3 linked regions of the Arabidopsis thaliana genome follow. The protein of the gene in region 3 interacts with the protein of the main gene of each other region in a pairwise test. Each region holds a gene or a part of one and is shown on either strand. Other genes may lie near its edges.

Region 1 (8,376 bases), on a different chromosome or scaffold from region 3:
ATTTTTCTTTCAGTGTCGTGATTCCCTTGATCTATTGTATGTATAAACATAATTTGGCTTCTGTTTTTTTCCAGGCTATTATGGAAGTAGGAGAGGTCATCCAGTTTTATGATTCTGATAAGCGGTTTCCTGCCTGGGGGTTTGGAGGAAGAACATCGGATGGTTCTGTGTCCCATGCTTTTAACTTGAATGGAGCATCATATGGCGACGAGGTAACTTACGAGACAGAAACTGTTATCTCCCTTTATTATTGGAGCTGATATTGTGTGCATACTGGTGTCCATTATTTGAAAACCATGAAACATTGCATTCTCAAAACTGCATGTTAAGTTTCACATTGCTTCATATTCTCTTTTCGTTTTCAGGTTGTTGGAGTTGAAGGAATCATGGTAGCTTATGCGAGTGCTCTTCGCAATGTTTCTCTAGCAGGACCAACTCTATTTAGCAATGTGGTCGACAAGGCTGCTCATACTGCTTCACAGTCACTCTCACAAAACAGTCCCAAGTACTTTGTTCTGCTCATCATTACGGTAAGAGACTGAACATTCAGATACGTAATGACTTTGGCCCAGTTCAGATCGAATGTGCATCTGTTACTAGTAAATCTATAGCTTCAATGACAAAAAAAATGGATGTGTGAACAGGATGGAGTCCTTACAGACATGGCGGGTACAGTAGATGCATTAGTGAGAGCTTCTGATCTCCCGTTGTCAGTTCTTATCGTCGGTGTGGGAAACACAGACTTCAAACAAATGGAGGTACAAGTTTTGTTTTGTCAAGTTAGGTTTTATATCTGTCTCTTTGCAAATAGTAAACATGCAGTGACTTGACCTTGTAAATATTTCAGATGCTTGATGCTGATAATGGTCGGCGGTTAGAGAGTTCTACTGGTCGAATAGCTACACGGGACATCGTTCAATTTGTCCCTATGAAAGACATCCATAGTGAGTTTTAAATTCCTTATGTACAACGGATAGTGTAAAGTGTTTAGATGCGTTTTGGATTGGTAGTAAATGTTTAATTTGGTGGGGTTGCAGGTGGACTAGTGTCGGTGGTGCAGGCACTTCTAGAAGAACTTCCCGGCCAGTTTCTGACCTATGTCCGTTCGAGAAAGATTAATCCGATCGGAGCTCCAGCAATTTGAGTTCAGCAGCATAGTCTAGTCTCTGTTTTTTCTTGCATAGAATTATTTTGGTGTCACCTTATTACCATAGTTATCATCATGTTCTCAATTTACTTAGGTTGGATTTAAACCGTAAGGTTTGTTAGAAAGAAAGAAACAAAAAACAGAACAGAATTTGCGAAATGTATATATATTTTAGCTTGTTTGCATCACAATAACATGATATAAACCACTGACGGTCTGACGCATCAAAGTAGATACGTTGGTAATATATGAAAATGTTAAATTATTTGCCGTCTTTCAGATAGACGCTGTTGAGCTTTGCATTATTAACGAAGGAAAACAAAAAAAAACATGGGATTCTCAATTGACACATGATTTCAAAATTAGGCAATTAATATTTTTGGAAAAATTAGATTGGAGATGCGGGGGATCGAACCCCGTGCCTCTCGCATGCAAAGCGAGCGCTCTACCATTTGAGCTACATCCCCATTTTGTTAAGTGTTCTGCGCTTATCTTTATTATAACAATTTTCAAGAACTCGATTCTTGGTAAGCAAAAAAAACTGCAGATGAAGGTAATTTAGCGAGCTAATTCAGGTGCGAACCAACAGATGAGGGTAACTTAGTGAAGTTAATTCAGGATTACCATGACTGAGGCAGTTAGGCCCAAAACCTAATGAGTTTTACTCCCTGGGTGAATTAAAAAATGAGTCTGGTTAAATTGAAACATGATCAAAGCAATGTTTAGTATTAGGCTCCATGAGTTGCATGTATCTGCAATAAAGAATCAAGTATGCATAGTTTGTGTTTCAAAATGTTTCTGGGTTGATATATCGATTAATTCAGTTCCATTGATACATGATTCGTTCCGAAATATCATATCATTCACTAATTAAACATACTTAGGCAAAAGCCAAATATACTTAGCTTTAAAACCTAATTTGATCCCCAAAAAACACCATCAGGGTCTATTTTACAAGTTCCGAATCCAAACAAGAGAACTGAACTAAGAAGTCTAAGAACCTCAGAACTCCTGAGAAGCAGATCCAATATCTCCTTTGTTCTTGCCAACCTTGGATGGCAAAAGAGTCTGATGAATATTTGGCAAAACTCCTCCATTCGCAATCGTCACACTTCCCAGAAGTTTGCTTAACTCTTCATCGTTCCTCACTGCAAGCTGAATGTGTCTTGGTACTATACGTGTCTTCTTGTTATCCCTTGCTGCGTTTCCCGCCAGCTCCAACACCTATCAACCCAAACCAAATCAAAATCAAATCAGTACAAGATCCAATTCAGATGTGACCAAATCGAAATTGAAAACCAAATTGGAAGACAAGAAAAATAAATTACCTCGGCGGCGAGGTACTCGAGAACAGCGGAGAGATAGACCGGAGCTCCGGCACCGACACGCTCGGCGTATTTACCGGATTTGAGGAATCTAGCGATTCTTCCGACGGGGAATTGAAGACCGGCTTTAGATGATCGAGAGACGGATTTGGTGGCCTTTGGCTTTCCTCTGCCACCTTTGGTTGTTCCGCTTCCTGCGCCTGTACTCATCGTCTTCTTCGAAATTTAGAACAGATAAACGATTTGATGAGAGTTTGAAGAAATCGAAGAGAAATGACTATTGTAGATGATCTGGGAATTGAGAAGATGAGTGGGCTTTAGGGTTTTGCTCTTCTCTATATGTATAGGCTACTAAGATTGATTGTGATTTGTTAGACTTTAGATCACACGGATTGCCAACGTGGCAGATCATCTACCCTTTCAATTATTATGTGATCTATGGTTCGTACATCTCCTTTTACTTTTTGAAAATAATGTACAAACGAAAAGTGATTTTAGTGAAATAGTCCTCCATTATTAAGCTTTCTATAATTTTAGACCCTGAATCTTGATCTGTTACAAGTTCATATTTTTAATTTACATCAATACATTTATTGTGGATTGATCATCCCAATGTATTGATGGTTATTTAAAAGATGGCCAGGGTTGATCGATTCGGTTTCATATGATTTTAGTTCTATGATGTAACCTTTATTGATCAAGCAACAAGAATAAATCAATAATTTATACGATAGCCGACATAAAGAGATTTCTATTATCTTACTATATATAGTCAACAAATATCTATAACAGTTGTTCACATGGGACACGACCAATGAGTCACTGCCAAATACAAGCTTCAAGAGTGAAGACTATTAAAGAACAGAGAAATACAGGGAAAAGCAATTAGGAGAAGGAACAAAAGAAGATGGAATCTGGAAGTATGAAAACACCTCTGGTGAATAATCAAGAAGAAGCAAGAAGCTCTTCTTCCATCACTTGTGGTCTTCTTCTTAGTACCTCCGTCGCTGTCACTGGCTCTTTCGTTTATGGCTGCGCTGTGAGATTTCATCATCACTCTTTCCTTTTCTTTCATTTGGTTTTCTAGTGTTCCTCATGGATCTCAACTAACATGCCTCAGATTGGAATTTTTATTTTTTTAATCAAAATCTGTTTTGAATTTGGTAATTGTTCAATAGCTGTTTTGTCTCAAAATTGTTATTTGAATATTATGTGATTTTGAGTTGATGTCAACTTGTGGCCTAATTTTGTGCACTATCATAATTTGAAGATGTCATATTCATCGCCTGCTCAGTCCAAAATCATGGAAGAACTGGGACTTTCCGTTGCAGATGTAAGTCATCCATGTGTGTGACCAAATCAATAACTAATTTTATTTTTTACATCGATAATCAATTATTACTCCTAATTTACTAAAATAATGGTCTATTTATATTTTGGCCAGTATTCGTTTTTCACATCGGTAATGACATTGGGAGGAATGATTACGGCCGCGTTTAGTGGAAAAATTGCTGCAGTTATTGGTCGTCGACAGGTAATTAAATTTTGTTTCGTATTCAAATGTTATTATGCCACTGTTTTTTTTTTTTTGTTTTTGATATTGTAGGACCTTCTAAGATGACGTAATATACACGTTATGATTTGTTCATCTCTTTGATCGCAGACAATGTGGATCGCGGATGTTTTCTGCATCTTTGGTTGGCTCGCTGTAGCCTTTGCACATGTTTGTTTCTCCAAATCTCCATCTTTTAAATTTATTTTTCACAAGTTTAGTATTTTTTAATAAAGTTAACATTTCATTTGCTGTGGTTTATTTTCAAGGATAAAATGCTGTTAAATATTGGTCGAGGCTTCTTGGGGTTTGGGGTTGGTCTCATTAGTTATGTGGTAATTAACTTTATCATCTGTTTTGAAAACAAATTATTTGTTACTTTTATAAAGTGTTGATATAGTAATTTCGTTTTACACCATTTGATTTGATCAAAACAAATAGGTTCCTGTATATATAGCAGAAATTACGCCCAAAGCATTTCGTGGAGGATTCTCTTTTTCCAATCAAGTAAGAATGAAACAAATTATATCAAACAGCTTATAATTTCAGAATATTTAATTTATTATTGTTATCTTGCGTTTGAACTTGCAGCTTCTACAAAGTTTTGGGATATCGCTCATGTTCTTCACCGGAAACTTTTTTCATTGGAGAACATTAGCTCTTTTAAGTAACTATATTTTTTCTCTAAATGAACTATATCTCAAATCATAAAAAATTATAATGTGTGTACTTAATTCACATTATTTAACTTATTCTTGATTTTCAATCTATGACTAGGTGCAATCCCATGTGGTATCCAAATGATATGTTTATTTTTTATTCCTGAATCACCTAGATGGCTGGTAATTCACACACTTAAAGTTTGTTTTTTATTTGTTTAATTGGTAATATTATATTTAAAAGGTACAGTCTACATATTAATGTTCATCTTAGGCTATGTATGGTAGAGAACGAGAGCTTGAGGTTACTTTGAAGAGGCTAAGAGGAGAAAATGGTGATATTCTCGAAGAAGCAGCTGAAATCAGAGTATTATTGTTTGTTCCGAAAATACTACTACTACTTTGGCTAACATATACGTATTTTGGTTAACTATTAATTCGGTTTAAAATGTGAAACAGGAAACAGTGGAAACCTCTAGAAGAGAATCTCGAAGTGGACTAAAAGATTTGTTCAATATGAAAAACGCACATCCGTTAATCGTAAGTCTCATCAAATACCTATCATTTATACAAATAATTTAGAAGAGATCGAGTTCTTATCTAGTTTTGTGACCTATTGATGATCAACTTAATAAACAGATAGACATGTATTTATGCGTATGTAGATCTAACATTCTGCCTATACGTATGAATGAAATACTCCCAAGTCCTAACGGAAAAAAATGTTTTAACTTGTTTAGTGAAATAAATAAAGATTAATTTGTTTTTGTTTGTTTATTAATTCGTTGAAAACGATTAGATTGGATTGGGCCTAATGCTCTTGCAACAATTTTGTGGGAGTTCGGCGATAAGTGCTTATGCTGCTCGTATTTTCGACACAGCCGGTAAACCATGATTTAAAAAAAAAAAAAAAAAAAAAAATCATTGGCATGTCATATCTTGTTTGATTTTGTATCGCATTTCATCTCACGATTTTTGAATATATTGTCTTGGGTATTTAGGTTTTCCAAGCGACATAGGAACATCCATCCTTGCAGTTATTTTGGTAAATCAAAACATTGTCTTTTTAGTATTTAACATTTTATAATCGAAAATATAGTATTTCACATTTTCACTACAACTTATTCTTGTTTTTAGGTACCGCAATCTATTATTGTCATGTTTGCCGTCGACCGATGTGGACGCCGACCACTTTTGATGGTAATCATTTCATTACCTTCGTTATATATAATTTGCGTAATTGATTTCCCTAGATAAATATTTTATTTGTGGTTTGAAACTTTTTTTGCAGAGCTCTTCTATCGGTCTGTGCATATGTTCATTTTTAATTGGCCTCTCTTACTATCTTCAGGTTTAGTCATCTTAACTATTTTATTCTTTGTAACTTCGTTTGATTTTTGGTTATTATAGACTAAATATTATTTATCCCCCACAAGCAGAACCATGGTGATTTTCAAGAGTTTTGTTCCCCTATCTTAATCGTCGGTTTAGTGGTACGTGAATGCCAATCTTGTTTCAGTCAATTACTATTTTTGGTTTAATTCATATATTACTTTGTTGAAACCACAACACTAATCAACCAAGTCATACTATATACCAGGGTTATGTCTTATCCTTTGGCATTGGTCTAGGTGGACTACCATGGGTTATTATGTCTGAGGTATTTGTTTTTTTTTTTATTTTAAACTAGAAATATTTCATAATGTAATCATTATCTTTTTTTTTTTTTGGACAACAATTTATTCATTATCTATGGCAGGTGTTTCCGGTGAATGTGAAAATTACCGCCGGTAGTCTTGTAACAGTGTCAAACTGGTTTTTCAGTTGGATTATCATTTTCAGTTTTAATTTCATGATGCAATGGAGTGCTTTCGGTAAATTTCTATCCATTAATTTGACATTTTTGTTTCTTCAGAATATTACACATCTAACACAAAAATGCTTTATTTCGACAGTATTTAATAATTATTACAATAAAATGAAAATAAATAAATAAACAAACAACCAGCTCTTAAAATTGTTTAAAGAGTATAGGGTTATGTATAATCAAATCATGGTAAATATATCTTTTAAATTATTAAAAATACTAAAACGGGAAGATTAGAGAATTTTATGTTAGGAATGTCCCCTCGAATTAATATTTTCATTATATAATAACTTAGATATGAAATTAAAGAGAATGATTATATAGTTATTTTGTTTTATTGGAATTTGCAGGAACATATTTCATATTTGCTGGAGTTTCTCTGATGTCATTCGTATTTGTATGGACTTTGGTGCCTGAGACGAAAGGCCGAACACTTGAAGATATTCAACAATCACTAGGCCAACTTTCATAAATCCAAAGTTGATTCTTTACTCCACAATGCCAGACATTGTTCTTTTATGTTACATTTATAAGTCATGTATTATCCGATTTGGAGGGGGGGGATATGGATTTCCGAATTTTTTTACTTTGATAAATTTTGTCAATATATTTTGTTGACAGAAAAAAGAATAATCAATATACTGTATGTGGTATTATTCTAACAATATTTTTTAAACGTATAATATGATTATGTACCAATATTTATAACCATATCATATGATTATGTACTTTTGTAAAAAAAATTCACACCCCACTTAAAACTTGGTTACTACTAATTGGATCTTGCAACTCAATTTTCTAAATCGCATTACAAAATACTGAATGAGCAAATTAATAAAAGATTAGTCAAATGTGACAACGACCAATGAGGCATGGCCAAATAAAAGCTTGAAGAGACTATTCAAAGTTAAGGATAAGAATCAAAGAAAGAAGATGGAATCTGAAAGACTCGAATCACATCTTCTGAATAAGCAAGAAGAAGAAGCTTCTTCCTTCACTTCTGGTCTTCTTCTCAGCACATCCGTCGTTGTCGCTGGATCCTTCTGTTATGGCTGCGCCGTGAGATCTCTTCCTTTCTCTCTCAATTTGCTATCCACTGATTTTGGATATTACAGTTTTAGAATCCTAATTTCTTCGTGCATAATTTTCATAACTATAACATACTTTGTAGATGTCATATTCGTCGCCTGCTCAGTCCAAAATCATGGAAGAACTGGGACTTTCCGTTGCAGATGTAAGCCCACCTGTGTTCAATGTTCATCATATAGATCAAAATCATTTTTTTCTTTTAAGACTCTCAAACCGGTTCAATAAACCAGACCAGTAACCCGGTTTGAATGGTCTACTTCTATGTTGGCCAGTATTCGTTTTTCACTTCGGTAATGACATTAGGAGGAATGATTACCGCCGTGTTCAGCGGTAAAATCTCTGCTCTCGTTGGTCGTCGACAGGTAATTAGTTATTACTGTTGGACCGGTTCCGGTTTATCTTTTGAATTTTTTTGGATCTTCTATGATGACGTCATTCTTTATGCGTTTTGATTTATTCGTCTGTTGATATCTCAGACAATGTGGATCTCAGATGTTTGCTGTATTTTTGGTTGGCTCGCTGTAGCGTTTGCACATGTTTGTTTCTCCAAATCTCCCTGTTTAAAACTTTCTATATATTTATCTACTCAAATTTTGTGTTAAAAAGTTAACATGTTATTTACTGTGATTATGTGTAGGATATTATAATGCTTAATACTGGACGACTCTTCTTGGGGTTTGGGGTTGGTCTCATTAGTTATGTGGTAATTAACTTTCTCTCCCCTTTTCATTTAGACA
Region 2 (9,745 bases), on a different chromosome or scaffold from region 3:
CCACTATTCTCGCACCTCATAACGTCATGCATATGAGCTTCTTCTTCTCCGGTGGTTCTAAGAAAGAAGAGAGCTTTTGCTGGCGTCTTGAGATCGACGATCAGATCCCAAGACGTGTGGACTCAAGCGGTTTCTTGGTGAAGACGCTTTGTTTAGACTCCGTTAATTCCTTAACCCATGAGGTTGTTTCCTCAATGGTTTTGGAATTTTCTTTACTTGACAGCCTCAAGATTTGTCGTTGTAAGAGATTGACTTCTCTCACTATTGATTCACCAACTAAGCTTCTTCACTTGTCCATCTCGGGATGCCCGAAGCTGAGATACCTCGAGATCATATCATTTAAGCTTAAAACTTTTCATTACCAAGGATCTCTACCTTTGATCAAGATTCATGAACATTTCAACTTGACCAAGGCGGTTTTCGATGTAACACAAGGCCCAAGCTATTACAACAACGCGTTAGACATCGGTCCTCTCTCGCTGACCATCAAGAATTCTCAATCTCTTACACTATGCAGATGGATGTTCGAGGTAACAAAGTTAGTCTCTAAATTCTTTTGTTCTAAGATAATTCGAAAGTTATATGTTACTATCTTTGTTAATAGGAAGTAATCAAACCGTCCATATCATCATCTTGGAGATCATTCCAATTCTACAAGTTACAAGAATTGCGGTGGATCGATAACTCGATGAACCAAGAACAAATTAATTCTTTGATCTCTTTTCTCAAACTTTGTCCATCAATAGAGCGCCTCTTCATTACTGTAAGTGTTACACACCTAAAACCTTGTTACTTTGTTAGTTCTTGCGTCGTGCTAATACCTTTATTTATTTTGTAAGATCGATTCAAATACTTATAGTTCAAACGAAGAAGTTAGTGTTAATGCTGACCATGCAAGAGTAGTACTAAGGGATCTAGAAGTGGTCAAATTGGAAGGATTCAAGAGTGAAGAAGATAAGAATCAACTGATATTTGCTCTACAAGAGATAGTCAGTATCGATCAGCCTCTGCTTGTACTGTCTTCAATTTCTTGACTTCGGCTTGGAATGGAAACGACAAAAGAGTTATGTCTAAAGATACACGTATGAACATGCTTTAATTAACCTGCTGTCATTTTAACGCGTGGATATATTCCATTTCTTGCTATACAAGAAATCCTCGTGTAAACGGAACTTAAATTTGGCTACGTCAAGTTTACAGATTAAAGATTTTTCACCAGTATGTATTATTGTAATGTACTTACTATGATAAATTACTTAAAACAACATCAAGTTGATTTTCGCAAGTATGTGTATATATATAAGGGATCCAAATTCTCGTACACACTTGCAAGTTGCAACTTAAACCTATAATGCCCAAATATTTGGCTTAGGTGAAGTATCGTTTTTAAACCATGTACGTGTCTTCTTCTCTTTTTTTGACCTGTTCAACAAAAGCATGCATGTGTGGAAACTTCAGCTGTCAACGAAAGAAAAGCGTGCATCAATTCATCAAAAGGTCATTTTAAATCGATTAATTAACGCTAAACCAACTAAACCATTTTGATTACATCATCAAGTTTGCTCGTTGGACTTGGTTAAAATACAATTGCCTCGGAAAATATTGCTAAGGAATTACTTTCTTAAACTTAGTACAACTTAATTAGTTCGAAATGCTCTGAGTTCTTTTTTTAAAGTAAATCAATTACGTTTAGAAACAAAATGTTATATATCATCCAACGGATGATGTGAAGACACATAACGTGGACAAAACAATCACTCTAATTAACAATAATTTTGTGGCCAAAAATATACTGGACATTTTTACACCAACCCCAAATGGCTCAGACAGGCCTTGTGGTACAAAACTTTCAAATGGACACCCTAACAAAGACTTATTCAAGTTCCACGTGTAATAAAACATGCTGAAAAATGATATATAGCACAAGAATACTCATTACTCACACTATTGCATGGTACAACATATAGTACAAATTTAGTTTAGAAATATCGATCTATGGACTTCTATATTATTATACAAACAATTTTACTAGACTAAAATGACAAGATCTCAGTCGTTTTTTTAAACAGACTATCTAAGAAGTGACCACATTTTATAGTGACATTCATAAGTCCACCAAGAACTAGTACAACCTCACTCAAAATCGAATCTCTTCTATAGCAATGAAGTCAATTGGGCTACTGTCCCGTTGTGGCCCAATTTAAAGAAAAATAGAAGCTATCTCATTGAATCTGTCAACAGTAAAACTGTTTTGAAAACGTATAATCCCAACTATAAAGGTCAAGTTCCAAACAAATTATATCATATGAGCAGTTTTGCTAAAGAGAGAAAAAAAGTGTAAGAATGAGCAAAAAGGGAACAGATCAAATGCACTGGCAGAAAAAGAAGCTCCATGCTGCCTCAATCATACCTGCCCCCACTAGGTATATAAGCTAATCTCACATGTGGTAACACTCTTCTCTTCTATCACCCGCACCTTTCTTCTTTCTTTGACAGTGAAAATAGAAAGAAACAAAGACAGCTGTTGTTGCATTCTCCACGGCACACTAACCAACCTCGCACATTTCTCAAGTTTCTTACAATCTTATAACTAATGGTGATTAATCTTTAACTTTGACTAATTACTACATAAAAGTATTTCATCAAACGAAACTCTCGTGATCATCATTGTCATGGGTTGGTTAGAGCACGAATCATACAAGGTTTCAATAATACAGCAAAATTGGTTACCAAAAGATTCCGAAACAGTTCAATATTTGTCGACAACTACCTTCTGTATATAAAGTAATGACGCAAAGACGTTAATAAATGTTGCAGTGCAATAATCTGGTCCGGTCTAGTGGTGTCTAGACCCAACTTATATCATTTAGTCAAGTCTCATAATATAATCGTTGCATAAATAGACATAAACGAAGAATATCTGAAACAAAAAAACAAAACTTAAAACTCGTCGCCGTAGTTGACCGTTACTTTTTGATTTTTAATTATTATGAAATATCACATTCAATAATTAAAACTATGTGTTAAGAAAATTTAATTTTATGTAAGATGACACAGAAATACACAAAGACTTGTCTGTCTTTCACTTTTTTAGACTCTTTGACCCATTTTCTTCATAATTCACGAAAACCCAAAAATTAAAAACAAAACAAAACAAAATAAAATCAAAACTAACAAAAAGGAAAAAAAAAAAAAAAAAAGTATCTCACCGGAAACGATTTCTTCGCCGATTCCAAGACTTTTCTTCCTAAGCTTTTTAACAGATCCGGTGAAAATTTCAAAATCCGAAGAATTCTCTAAAGCTAGGGTTTCTTAATTCACGAGACGGAGGTGATATAATTCCCCCCCGTCGTAGCTATGATGATTTCGAGAGGTTTGTTTGGTTGGTCTCCGCCGCATATACAACCGTTAACTCCTGTTTCTGAAGTTTCCGAGCCTCCTGAGTCTCCATCTCCTTACCTTGATCCTGGTGCTGAGCACGGTGGTACAGGAACAGCGGCGCAAGCGGATGATGAGGAGGAAATGGAGGAGCCGGAGGAGATGGAGCCTCCTCCTGCTGCTGTTCCTTTCTCTCAGCTATTTGCTTGTGCTGATCGCTTTGATTGGGTTCTTATGGTTTTTGGATCCGTTGCTGCTGCTGCTCATGGTACTGCGCTTATTGTTTACTTGCACTACTTCGCCAAAATTGTTCAGGTTCTTGCATTTCCCACTGATTCGGATCATCTGATAAGTGATGATCAGTTCAATCGTCTCCTCGAGGTAGGTCAGCTTGAATACGCTTCTGTGGCTTTTCAAAATTTCTAATTTCCTAGCTGAGTGAGCTTCAGGGGATATGGAATTTGGATAATTTATTAGGTGTTGGAGCTATTGATTCAGTTTAGTATATAATTTAGTGATGAAATTTTGGAACTTTGTTTCTCCTTCCGAGCTGGATTGTAATTTTAGCGGGTTGCCACATTAAGGTTAAGTCTGTTATCTCGACAAACTTTGTGGCACTCTTTGGTCATAAATGTATTAGTTCAAGAAGTTAACATGAGAGTGTGAAATCCTTTGATTGTTTTGCTCTATATCTTTGTTGGTTTGTTAGTAGGTTTTCTGTTTCATGATTCCTATGTGCTTTTGTTTGGAGGACTAGTTAAGTATACCAGTTTTCATGTAGTTTTTGCTTCTAAGATGGCATATTAACCTGGAAGCTAGCTGTTCTTGACTTAGCTGGGAAGCCTACTTTGAATCATCAAACGTGTTCTTTTACTCAAATGCATGCTCAGAGGAAGACAACCTATCTTCTAAGTCTATGCTTTCGTATTTCTCACCTCTAGGGATTTCTATGTATGGTCTTCTGAATGTCCATTTTTTTATTCGAGGTCTTATCTGTTTGCAAACCTGTTTATCTGGAATCTTGAAACAGTGGCAACAATCCTGAAATAATGTGCTCGTCTAAATTATTGAGTCCCTTTGTGCAGCTTTCGCTGACCATTGTATATATCGCTGGAGGTGTTTTCATATCTGGTTGGATTGGTAAGTTCACCTTTGCTAAAATCCTTACATATATTATAATCTAGTTGTGTCCTTCTTTCCTCTAATGCAATGATGCTATTATCCGTCACCATAATTAGTTGTCCTTTTTTATAGAGGTGTCTTGCTGGATACTGACTGGAGAGAGGCAGACTGCTGTGATCAGGTCAAAGTACGTCCAAGTGCTACTAAATCAGGATATGAGTTTCTTTGATACATATGGGAATAACGGGGATATAGTAAGCCAAGTACTGAGTGATGTTCTACTTATTCAGTCGGCTCTAAGTGAAAAAGTATGTTTCACTTTTGAATTTGGTTTCAAGTTTCCTATTGAATATCTTTATTTTTGCAAAGAATGATACATCTTCATGGATTTCCTTAATCTTTTTGATCTTGGACTTTACAGGTTGGGAATTACATTCATAACATGGCGACATTTATCAGTGGTCTTATTATTGGTTTTGTCAACTGCTGGGAAATTGCCCTCATTACGTTAGCCACCGGTCCTTTCATTGTTGCTGCTGGAGGCATATCAAATATATTTCTCCACAGACTTGCTGAGAATATTCAAGATGCATATGCTGAAGCAGCCAGCATTGCTGAACAGGTATTAGAAATTCGCGCAATTTGATTGACGAATTCTGTTGCAAGCATTAAATGACATGTTTCCGACAATGACAATGATGTTTAAGCAGTAGAGTTATAACAGAGAGACTTCTTTGACTTGTGAACATCAAAGTTAATTTTTGCTGTGCAAAATTTGATATCTTTTACAGTACTCTTATTTGAATCAAAACTTGTTTAAGTTCAGAAAATTTTAGGCAGAATCTATGAGGGTTAGATTGTAATAGGCAGGTCGGACTGTTTAGGTTACTTATCTTGGTTTAATGCGACTGCAATCGTGAATTAAAATTCATCTCAACATATTGCCCAAGTCATGGCTTCGGTTTTGTTATAATAGGATTCATGTATAATTAATCTTAGCATCCATAACTTGGATATTGCATCGACTTGGATGCATGGCAATTACATGCCCACGTCAGTCTTATGAGTTCAAGTTCTTCTGAAACGCATCCCCTACTGGTCCATTTTTTGAGTTCTTCATTCTGGTTTGTTTATAGTGTCAGATCGCATCTGAATATATTTTCTAACGCTCAAAAGGTTTTATTCTATATGTGCAGGCAGTCTCTTATGTTAGGACTTTGTATGCCTTTACAAATGAAACTCTTGCAAAATACTCTTATGCAACTTCTCTCCAAGCAACTCTGAGATATGGTATATTGATTAGTCTTGTGCAAGGACTTGGACTTGGATTTACTTATGGGCTTGCTATATGTTCATGTGCTATGCAACTTTGGATTGGTCGGTTCTTTGTTATTCATCATAGAGCAAATGGTGGAGAGATCATAACAGCCCTTTTTGCTGTTATTTTAAGTGGGCTGTAAGCTTCCGATTCTACTTTACTCTCTTATCTTCTTCTTTTTTGTTTTTTTTCTCCAGTGTCTGTTTGCTAATTGAATTCATATTGTGCTGTGCAGGGGTTTAAATCAAGCGGCTACAAACTTTTATTCATTTGATCAAGGAAGAATTGCGGCGTATAGGCTTTTTGAGATGATAAGTCGTTCATCCTCTGGGACTAATCAAGAGGGAATTATTTTGTCTGCTGTCCAAGGAAATATTGAGTTTCGGAATGTATATTTCAGCTATTTGTCACGACCTGAAATTCCAATCTTGAGTGGATTTTACCTTACTGTGCCGGCTAAAAAAGCTGTTGCACTTGTTGGTAGAAATGGTTCTGGAAAAAGCAGTATCATTCCTCTAATGGAACGGTTTTATGATCCTACACTAGGTACTATGATGTGTAATTTAAGATGTATCAGTTTTTCTGAATAATCCCCTTTGGATACTCACCTGCGAAGGATACTATTAGTAACTGATTAGATCTGTGGTTTTCTCTTATACAGGAGAAGTTCTACTTGATGGAGAAAATATTAAAAATCTAAAATTAGAGTGGCTGAGAAGCCAAATAGGCCTGGTGACACAGGAGCCTGCTTTGCTTAGTCTGAGCATAAGAGAGAATATTGCATACGGCCGAGATGCTACTCTGGATCAGATAGAGGAAGCAGCTAAAAAAGCACATGCACACACATTTATCAGCTCACTTGAAAAAGGATATGAAACTCAGGTAACTATCCACTGAAAAGTTTGTAGTTATGAATTGTGTTTTTGTTGCTATTCTCATTTTTAGAAGTTGAAAATGACTTGTTTGTCCTCTAGGTTGGAAAGACTGGTTTAACGTTGACAGAGGAGCAGAAAATAAAGCTATCGATTGCTAGAGCCGTACTCTTAGATCCAACAATTCTTTTGCTTGACGAGGTCACTGGAGGACTAGACTTTGAAGCTGAAAGAGTTGTCCAAGAAGCCCTTGATCTTCTAATGTTAGGAAGGTCTACCATAATAATAGCCCGACGACTAAGTCTGATAAGAAATGCTGACTATATTGCTGTAATGGAGGAGGGCCAGCTACTTGAAATGGGTACGCATGATGAACTAATCAACCTTGGTAATTTGTATGCTGAGCTTCTGAAGTGTGAAGAAGCAACAAAGCTACCCAGACGGTATGATTTTCCAGCCAAGACCATATACATATCTAACAACTTGTAAAGTCTGTTGTGTAGTAAAGTCCATGTGGTTGAGAATTTTGTTTGGCTGCTTTTGATTTAATGATCTATGGAAGGGTGGACTTTGATGATTCTACTTGTTTATGGAACTCGTGTTGCCTTGCAGGATGCCAGTTAGGAACTACAACGATTCTGCTGCGTTTCAGGCTGAGAGGGATTCTTCAGCTGGTCGTGGCTTCCAAGAACCATCATCGCCCAAAATGGCTAAGTCTCCATCTCTTCAGAGAGGTCATAATGTTTTCCGCTCCCAGGAATTGTGCTTTAATAGTGAAGAATCGCCCAATGATCATAGCCCTGCACCAGAGAAACTGGGAGAAAATGGCTCGTCGTTGGATGTTGGTGAGAAGGAACCCACCATCAAAAGACAAGATAGTTTCGAGATGCGGTTACCAGAATTACCAAAAATTGACATTCAGTGTCCACAACGTCAGAAATCAAATGGTTCAGATCCGGAGTCCCCTATATCACCCCTTTTGATATCAGATCCCCAAAATGAGCGCTCTCATTCACAGACTTTTAGCCGCCCTCTTGGTCACTCAGATGACACTTCAGCAAGTGTTAAGGTGGCCAAGGACGGTCAACACAAGGAGCCACCTTCATTTTGGAGGTTGGCACAGCTTAGTTTTCCAGAGTGGCTATACGCTGTATTAGGGAGTATTGGTGCTGCAATCTTTGGTTCTTTCAATCCTCTTCTAGCTTATGTTATTGCATTAGTAGTGACGACATACTATACGAGCAAGGGAAGCCACCTGCGTGAAGAGGTTGACAAGTGGTGTTTGATCATTGCCTGCATGGGAATAGTGACAGTTGTTGCCAATTTCTTACAGCACTTCTACTTTGGTATTATGGGGGAGAAAATGACTGAGAGAGTGCGGCGAATGATGTTCTCAGGTACTGCCATATTTTTCTTCATTGTTAACTCACTGTTAACTCACTTCACTACATGTTTACTACTTTCACTTAACTTATTGACTTTATCTGATGTGATAGCAATGCTGCGTAATGAAGTTGGATGGTATGACGAAGAAGAGAACAGTCCAGATACATTATCCATGCGCCTAGCAAATGATGCCACTTTTGTCCGAGCTGCCTTCAGCAACAGGCTTTCCATATTTATTCAGGATAGTTTTGCTGTTATCGTTGCCATTCTTATTGGGCTGCTGCTCGGTTGGCGTTTGGCCCTTGTTGCATTAGCGACTTTGCCAGTACTTACTCTTTCTGCCATTGCCCAGGTTTGTTTTGTTCCTTCAATCTTCCCCAACAAAGCCTCAAGAAGACCGCTTGAAATTATTTTCTTATGTTTTTTTTTTTGTTCCCGATTCCGGTTTAGTAGTCACATGCTTCCCTCAGTCAAAATGTGCGTCTAATTTATGCAAAAGGTTTCCAGTTCAAGTAGCGATTTAAGATGTGAATTTGACTTTATACCTCATTTTGGTCATCCTATCCTCATGCACTTAGCTTGGAAGTATTCGCCTGTTCTGCAATTCTAACAACATTATAAAATTTCCAGAAACTTTGGCTTGCTGGATTCTCAAAGGGCATCCAGGAGATGCATCGAAAGGCGTCCTTAGTACTCGAGGATGCTGTCAGAAACATATATACTGTTGTCGCGTTCTGTGCCGGCAACAAGGTGATGGAACTCTACAGACTGCAACTCCAACGGATACTCAGGCAGAGCTTTTTCCATGGGATGGCTATTGGCTTTGCGTTTGGCTTCTCACAGTTTCTTCTCTTCGCCTGTAATGCGCTCCTCCTGTGGTACACCGCGTTATCAGTAGACCGCAGATATATGAAATTGTCTACAGCTCTAACCGAGTACATGGTCTTCTCCTTTGCTACATTTGCTCTTGTGGAGCCATTCGGATTAGCACCTTACATTCTCAAGCGCCGTAGATCTCTCGCTTCAGTTTTTGAAATAATAGATCGAGTTCCTACAATCGAACCTGATGATACCTCGGCTCTTAGTCCGCCTAACGTGTATGGAAGCATTGAACTGAAAAACATCGACTTCTGCTACCCAACCCGCCCGGAAGTGTTAGTACTAAGCAACTTCAGTCTCAAAGTCAATGGCGGACAAACAGTAGCTGTGGTTGGTGTTTCTGGTTCTGGAAAGAGCACAATAATATCGTTGATCGAGAGATACTACGACCCAGTTGCTGGTCAGGTCTTATTAGATGGGCGAGACTTGAAGTCATATAATTTGAGATGGTTAAGAAGCCATATGGGTCTGATTCAACAGGAACCCATAATCTTTTCCACAACGATCAGAGAAAACATTATATACGCAAGGCACAATGCAAGTGAAGCTGAGATGAAGGAAGCAGCAAGGATTGCAAATGCCCACCATTTCATCAGCAGCTTACCTCACGGATACGACACACATATCGGGATGAGAGGTGTTGAGCTTACCCAAGGACAAAAACAGAGAATCGCTATAGCTCGGGTAGTGCTGAAGAATGCTCCAATACTGTTGATTGACGAAGCGAGTTCATCTATCGAATCCGAGTCGAGCCGTGTTGTGCAGGAAGCTCTTGATACATTGATAATGG
Region 3 (7,132 bases):
TTACAAGAACCAAACAACACAACAAGGGACACACGAATCACTTGACCGAGACCTGATTGTTGGATTTGGGAAATGGAGTTTTGACCCTATGAAGATCGAGAATCCGTTCCCTAAGGGTGAAGGTTCGGTACATATGTGGCAAGGGGATGATGATCGGCTCGTCCCGATACAACTACAAAGGATCATTGCTCAGAAACTAACTTGGATCAAGTATCATGAGATTCCAGGTGCTGGTCATATTTTTCCGATGGCTGATGGGATGGCAGAAACTATCTTAAAAGAACTCTTGCCTATTCCTCAATCATCTTAAATTCAATTTTACATATGTTTAGATAATCAAAAAAAAAGTTGTACAGTTTGTCTCCACCCCAAAAAAATAGTATTGCTCTGTTCCTCATGAATAAATTTCATTTCATTTTATTTTTTTGCGTCTTTTAAAGTATTTACTGCAGCGCAGTAAAAAGATTTTTCTCTGGTAAAACAAAACCAATGAATTTCTTTTATTTGGAAATAGGAAAGCTAATAGTTAGATGACAACGTACCTGCACCTATTCTGCCACATATATCGTATCTTAAACTTGCAGTTAAAGGAGATGCTAATCATAATAATTAGTTTGAAGCAGAGAGAATGCTCACTTAGGAAGGCCTGTTTCAGGATCGAGAAGGGCTTGAGTTTGGTCGTGAAGCACGATGGGACCTTTTCCAGGTCTAGTGCAGATAAAATAACTGACTTCTCCTTTTTGATCCTGAGATCCAATGTTGTCTTTAATTTCAGGTGGAGGTTGCAGATTCTCTACACCACTTGCTCCATCTAATCCTGCTTCTTTTAGAATTGAATTATCGCCCACTACGTAACTGGTAAATAAAGAAACCAAAATCATTACAAACAGCTTTTTAGTCAATTTTAAAACTCATAGAAAACCGCAGTTAAACGGATCACACATTGTTCTGTGTCTCACCTCTTCATATCAGTGTCTGACTTAGGGGGAAAATAGTACAGAAGCCCCTGGAGCAATTGGACTGCGACCTTTCTGTTGCGTGCAATCAGTACAGCATTTGGACCAGCATCAAATGTGTAAGCAACCTGTACAGATTTACATTTTGAGTTATTAGTTGTTTTCAAAAGGTTGAGTCAAGACACTAGAACTTTACCTGTGGTGTCCCTTCAGAACGGTTCCACTTTTCAACTAAGCTAATTATTCTGGAAAAGCAGATAACAGTTTGATATATTAGAATAAATAAGGGTTTGATAACAAATAAACTGAAGCAGCATATAGAAATATGTCAAAATAGAGAATACCTGTGTGAAGTGTCATTCATGTAGAATATGGGTGGAGATGTATCCAGACAAACAGCATGAAACTGATTACTATCTGTACATGTCAATTGTGTAAACGATGCAAAGTCTCGATTTTTTATAGCTTCCTCCATTTGCAAAATCCGTTTTGGCACAACTTCCTATAGATAGAGAAAAAACAAAGGATGAAGTTTAATAGGTAATACAGAAGTTCATTAAACATCAAGAACAGAACGTACTTTTGCTCTATGCTGTAAAAGCAAACTTGTCTCAACACTTTCACGCATTCCGGAGGTACTGCTCGTTTCCTTCTGCCGTGAACTCACCTGTTATAAAAAGTTTGAATGAAGGCACTAAATTTTAACAGATTTCTGACCATTCGAACTTGTCCATAATGCTATATTCACACGTTGAAATAGAGCAACTCAAAATCTTGTCGTGGAAATACTTATTTATATATCTCGTTCAATCAAATAGTATGACGACAGTAAAAGTAACATATGGTTAATTTGAAAAACAGCATGATCTGGAAGATGGGAGAGTCGGAGTAATCCTGCCAAAAAGTCACAATATTTTTTAAAAGAGCCATACCACAGCAATGATGATAACAAGATCATCCCAATGCTTCTCATCTGCCAGTTGAACTGCAACGCTGTCACTTCCATCTTCTTTGCTTCCCATTGTCCACTTGACAAATCCACCAAATAAACTCCGGCAAGCACTTCCTGAACCTTGCCTACATGAGCAAACAGAAATCAAACCATGAATATCAGTACCATTTAATTCCTAGAGGAGTGTCAGATTTCACTTCACTATCACAACTCATGCATTAGTAGATGACTATACATAAATCAAAGCATTGATATATAGTGCAAGGAAGTCCACTACATAGGTACCTGGCTATTGCAGAAAGATGGCTTGGATCTTCATCTACATTCATCAACTTTGCAAGAGAAAAAACTGTAGGCAAAAAAAACAGTTTGACATAAACTACAAGCCATTCTCAAGCTCATAATCATCAACAGAGAGAAAAAGCAGAATACCTAGACAAGCAAATCCAGCAGCTGAAGATGCTAAGCCAGCAGCAGTAGGGAAGTTATTATGAGAAGCAATATGTAGATTCAATTTCTCCCAATCTTTCTTCCTTATCTTGATCCCCTTTTCCATGTCTTCAACATCACCAGCACGACCTCGTATTTCCCTCAAACAATTTTGGTACCTACTTCCAGAAAGAGATATTTCCTACACTAACATGAAACAACAACAACAACAAAAATCTTTGTAATTCGATAATTGGAATCTCAGCAAAAGGAGAGAGATCGTGATGGGAAATGAAGCGAGTGTACCTTGCCATTGAGCCACATTCGATCCCGATCAAAAGCAGGACTAACGGCAACAGTGGTGACTGTGCAGAGATGATCAGGATCAAGAGTTACGCTAATGCTATCGTTAACGGGGAGAATCCGAACCTCATCTCTCTTTCCCCAATACTTAATCACCGCAATGTTCGTCGGAGTTTGCGCCGTCACCATGAACACCCATTTCTCCGTCGCCATGTGAATCTCCAAAAGAGATCTGCAGCTTCAAAGTAGTTGAAAATGAAAGCGACGGAGAATACGACAGAATAATGATGACTCATTGCCTTTACAATTTTAAAAATATTATTTTATTCAAAAATTGAGAACTTCACTAACTGTAAAACTCTAATCAAATGGTTATTGCCATTTTGATGAAAACACCAAAACTTAACCTAAAACGTTTTAGGAAAAAAATTGAGTTAGGTAAGAAATAACCAAAACACGAAAATCATTGTGATGCATGAACTTTATGCTTAAAGGCCTTTGAGTTGTCTTGTCTTTGATATTGGGATATTTGTTAGCTGGGAAAGGATATGTAATATATAAACCACTGATTCATATAAGTAACACCATTGTTCATGAGTAAAAACAGACTCTTATTATAGCTCATACAGCATTGGTTAAGATAATTGAAGAAAGCATCTCATTCCAAATATCCGGGACACCGGGCAAGCACCAATGACTGCAATCTGATGAAGGTCCAGCGATACGATGGTGCTTCTCTTCCTCGTGCATTGCTCTCTTGAACACCGAAGGATGACCGTCTCTTCTATACGCAGACATTGTTGTGATATCGTATAAATACACTCGGTATTTCATTGTCCTTAGCACTTTGTTCAACACTCTTGACTGTTGAGGCACGTGGGGTTTGGTGGAAGAAGATAAAGAAGGCAAGGGATGTTTCTGGTTGTAGCACATCTGACCACTCTCTCTGCCAAGAATTTATGTACATGAATTAATGGTGTCCATTTTGTATATATGTTGAGATTAAGAGGAGAATATAAGAAAAAACCTCGGTGAGACAGTGCGGAAAATGACTTTTGTTTTGGATGGATCAAGATTTATCTCAACCCATTTAGCCCATGTGGTTAGTCCTCTCTCATAAGCAACCATTGGGTCCATAGCTTTGAAGATCTTATTCCCATCCATGTAATAATCCCACCTAAAACATCAATAGCTTGCGTTACTGTCACAAATCCCAAATCTGATGTAAAATGAGACACAATAACAAATACAATGAACATAGACGTCTATGAACCGTTATACACTAATCATTTGCTTTTGAAGGAAAGATGTAAGTGTTTATTCAGATGACTTACGAACTCCATCTCTGAGAGTGAGTCCACCAGTGAGCGGAATCGAATACAAGAACATCTACACCACGCCAATATCTAGCATTGTCTTCGATTGAGTCCAAATGTAACACCCTTTTACGGTCAACTCCTCTCTTGAGTTCCACAAGCAGAGGAGCCCAACAAAACTCAATTGATGTCTCAAAATCCTGTATAGTAACCAAATTTAATAGTTGCATCTACTAACCAATGATGTATATGTGATTCAAAAGGAGATTTGTGATTATTAATTACCAGAGAATGGAAAGACATCGTAGGACCATTGTAAGTGAGCTTCTTACGATGAGTGGGAAGAACAGACTGTACTAAGCAGACAAGAGATTCCCACTGGTTTCTCATCATTGAATCTCCAACCAGCATTATTCTTTTTCCTCTCATTTTCCCAAGAAATTTCAATGCGTCAAACCTAAACACCATCATGGAAAGAGCCACTATTTTGGTTAATATTAATGTCTCTTTCCCATTTTTCATTAGTCAATTTATTCATCTTGCAATTAACCATGCAAAGCCAATATAAACCAACTTTTTTACTTGATGAGACAGAAATTTTAAAAAGAAGTAATGTAAGAAGTAAGAGGAGTGTGGAGTGTGCCTTGGTAGTGAACAAGCCTTAGGGATCCATCTCCATTTCTGGTAATAAGAGTCGGGTCTTCCATTTCTTTGGCAACTTAGTGCAGAACTCAGATATGGACAGCTTGAATCATAGAGCGGATACGTTTCATCGAACGTCCATTTCCCCACCGAGTAATCACACCTCTCCTCTCTTCTTTCACGCCTCGTCTGCAAGGCGTTGAGTGGATCATCGTCCCCTACTAGCCATAACTCATCAAACTGAGACAAAACTACTTTGCCAAGGATGAGACACAAAGATAAGAACAAGACTCGAGTCTCTGAGGTAGCCATTTGACCAGGAAACTGAGCAGTGTGGGCTTGGAGAAAGAAATAATATAAAGAAGATGGGCAACAAAAAGTGGATAAAGTGAAAAAGGGCGTTAATTACGGAAAGTGGTGGTAATTAGTAATTAGACTTATGCTTGAAATCATGTCCCGTGACTTGCGTCTCCTCTTCTCTCCATCATATCATTTTTTTATAAAAACAGATTACAGTATCCAAGGCGGGATTTGTGAGTTTGGTGGAGCGTTTTGTATATGGTTTAAAAAATCGAAATAGTTTCTCAACAAAAACAAACAGAAATAGTAGAAAACAATCCATATAAACCAGAAAAAAGAATTGCAAATCAAACACAATGGTAGGTTTTGTAAGACTAAAGAAATGTAGGTTTTGTTGTAGAGACCCAAAACTCTCCCTGCCCTCAAAAGGTCATGAACAGACCAAATTCAGGACCCAACCTTCCTTATTAATAGTTTTAAGTTAACCCAAATATGTAAAAAAGTATTAATGAAACGAAACCAAGACATGGCAACACCTTCTTCAGCTTTTAGTATCCTTCATGCTTTATCAAACTCACACCATCCCCAAACAAACATAACACAAAACAAACACTATGCTCTTTGGTTAGCTTCTGTCCCAAACAGATGTCATCTTTAGTATGTCAGTCGAGATTAAGATAATCCTTTAGAAAATCCATTTTTCTTGATCATCTGAAGAAGATTCATCTAACCATGATTGGTGGATGTGCATCCACGTCAGCCTTTGCTTTTCCTCCTTTCAATTTTAACCCATTTTCAGTTATTTTTTTCCAATATTATTTAACCAATCTAATCGTTTGAAATCTTAAAAGGATCATAAATCAAGGTTTACCTTATAACTCAGTAAGACTTTTGTTGAACAAGACCGTACTTTTCCCTCTGTAAACACGAGCTAGACATTAGAACATGGAAGCAAACTTCTACAGTATACCCTTATGATGAGAAATCAAACAAATCAGTTGATCGTATTTTCTGCTAAATCATTTCCTAGCTCGATAAGTCACAAGTATAAGCCATGTAATTGAAGAACAAGATTTCTTACCAGATAACTCATGCTTTACAAATTTTGCAAGCCATGTATCTGAACTGATATGAGAAGACGTAACATTATCCAACCAAATGCGAAACTTCTTTTCCTTCCCATCACCGTATAAATTTTCCATCTCATCTATCCATTCATGTATCGGTTTCTCCACTCCAGACGGATGAACAAAAATACCAAGTGGACTCTGAAACATTGCAAAAGCATAACAATTACGTCAACTAATAAGTCTACACAACACAAGCAATCAAGAACATCTTCAAAATTATCAATTTGAGCACTTGAATTTCCATTACGTTAGATGCTAGAGAGCTTTTTTTTGTCAAATAAACACACTTACAGAGAGCGATTTCAAATTCTGCAAGTACTTGTCAGACTTTTCCACCTCTCCACAACGCCATCTCTCATAAAACAAATAAAACTGAACAACCTCATGAGCAGGATTCAAACTTTCCCCATGGAAATTTTCAGTGTCCATAACATCTCTAGGAGAGACATTTGGTCCCAAATTAAACCTCTGAATAGCTTCTATCATACCAGCTCCACACCTCTCAGACGCATGAAATATTTTTGGGTTGTCCTTTGCATTTTCTTCATACCATTGCAATAATTCTTCATGCGAATTGCTAACCTTAAACAGTAAAAATATAAGCACAATCACTCACGCGTAGTCAAGTATGATCGAACCTAAAAAAAAGTAGTTGGGAACTAACCATTACGCCATATACGTCAGAAATGTTGAAAAGCTCAGCATCATTTCCAGAGTCACCACAAACAAGTGTGTTAGAAGGCTGCTTGCCTTCAATATCCAACTTGTCAAGTAGATATGTCAAAGCACCTTGTTTGCCAGCTCCTCTTGGTAATACATCAAAAGCATATCCATTACTATAAACCAGCTTCACATCCACCTATAATGAATTTTACTGTCATCAGCACCAAAAGTAACAATCTATGATAAGAATGTAGCCATCAAGCTCACATAAAGAGTACACACAAAAATCTCACCCCACGCTCCTCTAATATCCCTGGAAGAACCTTCATTATTTCAACAGCGTCTTCTCTTCCCACGAAAAAACTCACTTTGTGCTCTTCTTGGCTCTTGTCTGGCTATCATAGACAACACACAGAAAAAAAAAAAAAAAGAGATTTAGAA

What was found. Proteins that work in one complex are often made in the same cells at the same time.
Region 1: the proteins of TBL36 (region 3) and AT1G08890 interact in a protein complementation assay, tested with the Arabidopsis thaliana proteins (one large-scale study listed by BioGRID).
Region 2: the proteins of TBL36 (region 3) and ABCB6 interact in a protein complementation assay, tested with the Arabidopsis thaliana proteins (one large-scale study listed by BioGRID).

What each region holds. Positions count from the first base shown.
Region 1 is NC_003070.9:2,844,995-2,853,370, forward strand, and holds AT1G08890 (Major facilitator superfamily protein), read left to right. Parts: upstream 1-3,154; 5' UTR 3,155-3,379; coding exon 3,380-3,511; intron 3,512-3,742; coding exon 3,743-3,805; intron 3,806-3,916; coding exon 3,917-4,006; intron 4,007-4,135; coding exon 4,136-4,195; intron 4,196-4,293; coding exon 4,294-4,359; intron 4,360-4,465; coding exon 4,466-4,531; intron 4,532-4,615; coding exon 4,616-4,691; intron 4,692-4,801; coding exon 4,802-4,866; intron 4,867-4,957; coding exon 4,958-5,050; intron 5,051-5,142; coding exon 5,143-5,223; intron 5,224-5,482; coding exon 5,483-5,567; intron 5,568-5,684; coding exon 5,685-5,728; intron 5,729-5,820; coding exon 5,821-5,883; intron 5,884-5,974; coding exon 5,975-6,034; intron 6,035-6,122; coding exon 6,123-6,176; intron 6,177-6,283; coding exon 6,284-6,343; intron 6,344-6,442; coding exon 6,443-6,557; intron 6,558-6,900; coding exon 6,901-7,022; 3' UTR 7,023-7,276; downstream 7,277-8,376. Other genes in the region: BON3 (Calcium-dependent phospholipid-binding Copine family protein), read left to right, coding at 75-212, 366-530, 645-758, 848-944, 1,038-1,144; H2AXA (Histone superfamily protein), read right to left, coding at 2,150-2,371, 2,476-2,682; AT1G08900 (Major facilitator superfamily protein), read left to right, coding at 7,484-7,609, 7,722-7,784, 7,912-8,001, 8,116-8,175, 8,277-8,342. UniProt on the Arabidopsis thaliana protein: Sugar transporter.
Region 2 is NC_003071.7:16,478,440-16,488,184, reverse strand, and holds the start of ABCB6 (P-glycoprotein 6), read left to right. Parts: upstream 1-3,145; 5' UTR 3,146-3,357; coding exon 3,358-3,759; intron 3,760-4,085; exon of another isoform or gene 4,086-4,329; intron 4,330-4,463; coding exon 4,464-4,518; intron 4,519-4,632; coding exon 4,633-4,808; intron 4,809-4,921; coding exon 4,922-5,122; intron 5,123-5,696; coding exon 5,697-5,956; intron 5,957-6,053; coding exon 6,054-6,364; intron 6,365-6,479; coding exon 6,480-6,700; intron 6,701-6,792; coding exon 6,793-7,133; intron 7,134-7,302; coding exon 7,303-8,087; intron 8,088-8,186; coding exon 8,187-8,428; intron 8,429-8,706; coding exon 8,707-9,745. Other genes in the region: AT2G39490 (F-box family protein), read left to right, coding at 1-530, 605-763, 840-1,034. UniProt on the Arabidopsis thaliana protein: Probable auxin efflux transporter that contributes, together with ABCB20 and in a FKBP42/TWD1-dependent manner, to the regulation of leaf position and morphology, internode distribution, roots development, and inflorescence organization, probably by modulating auxin repartition.
Region 3 is NC_003074.8:20,081,836-20,088,967, forward strand, and holds TBL36 (TRICHOME BIREFRINGENCE-LIKE 36), read right to left. Parts: upstream 5,133-7,132; 5' UTR 4,911-5,132; coding exon 4,600-4,910; intron 4,414-4,599; coding exon 4,242-4,413; intron 4,157-4,241; coding exon 3,975-4,156; intron 3,818-3,974; coding exon 3,668-3,817; intron 3,587-3,667; coding exon 3,262-3,586; 3' UTR 3,136-3,261; downstream 1-3,135. Other genes in the region: AT3G54240 (alpha/beta-Hydrolases superfamily protein), read left to right, coding at 1-310; AT3G54250 (GHMP kinase family protein), read right to left, coding at 633-855, 960-1,084, 1,153-1,201, 1,301-1,458, 1,537-1,623, 1,889-2,033, 2,194-2,257, 2,341-2,539 and 1 more; AT3G54270 (sucrose-6F-phosphate phosphohydrolase family protein), read right to left, coding at 5,584-5,673, 5,770-5,816, 5,980-6,166, 6,320-6,610, 6,693-6,887, 6,985-7,086. UniProt on the Arabidopsis thaliana protein: May act as a bridging protein that binds pectin and other cell wall polysaccharides. Probably involved in maintaining esterification of pectins. May be involved in the specific O-acetylation of cell wall polymers.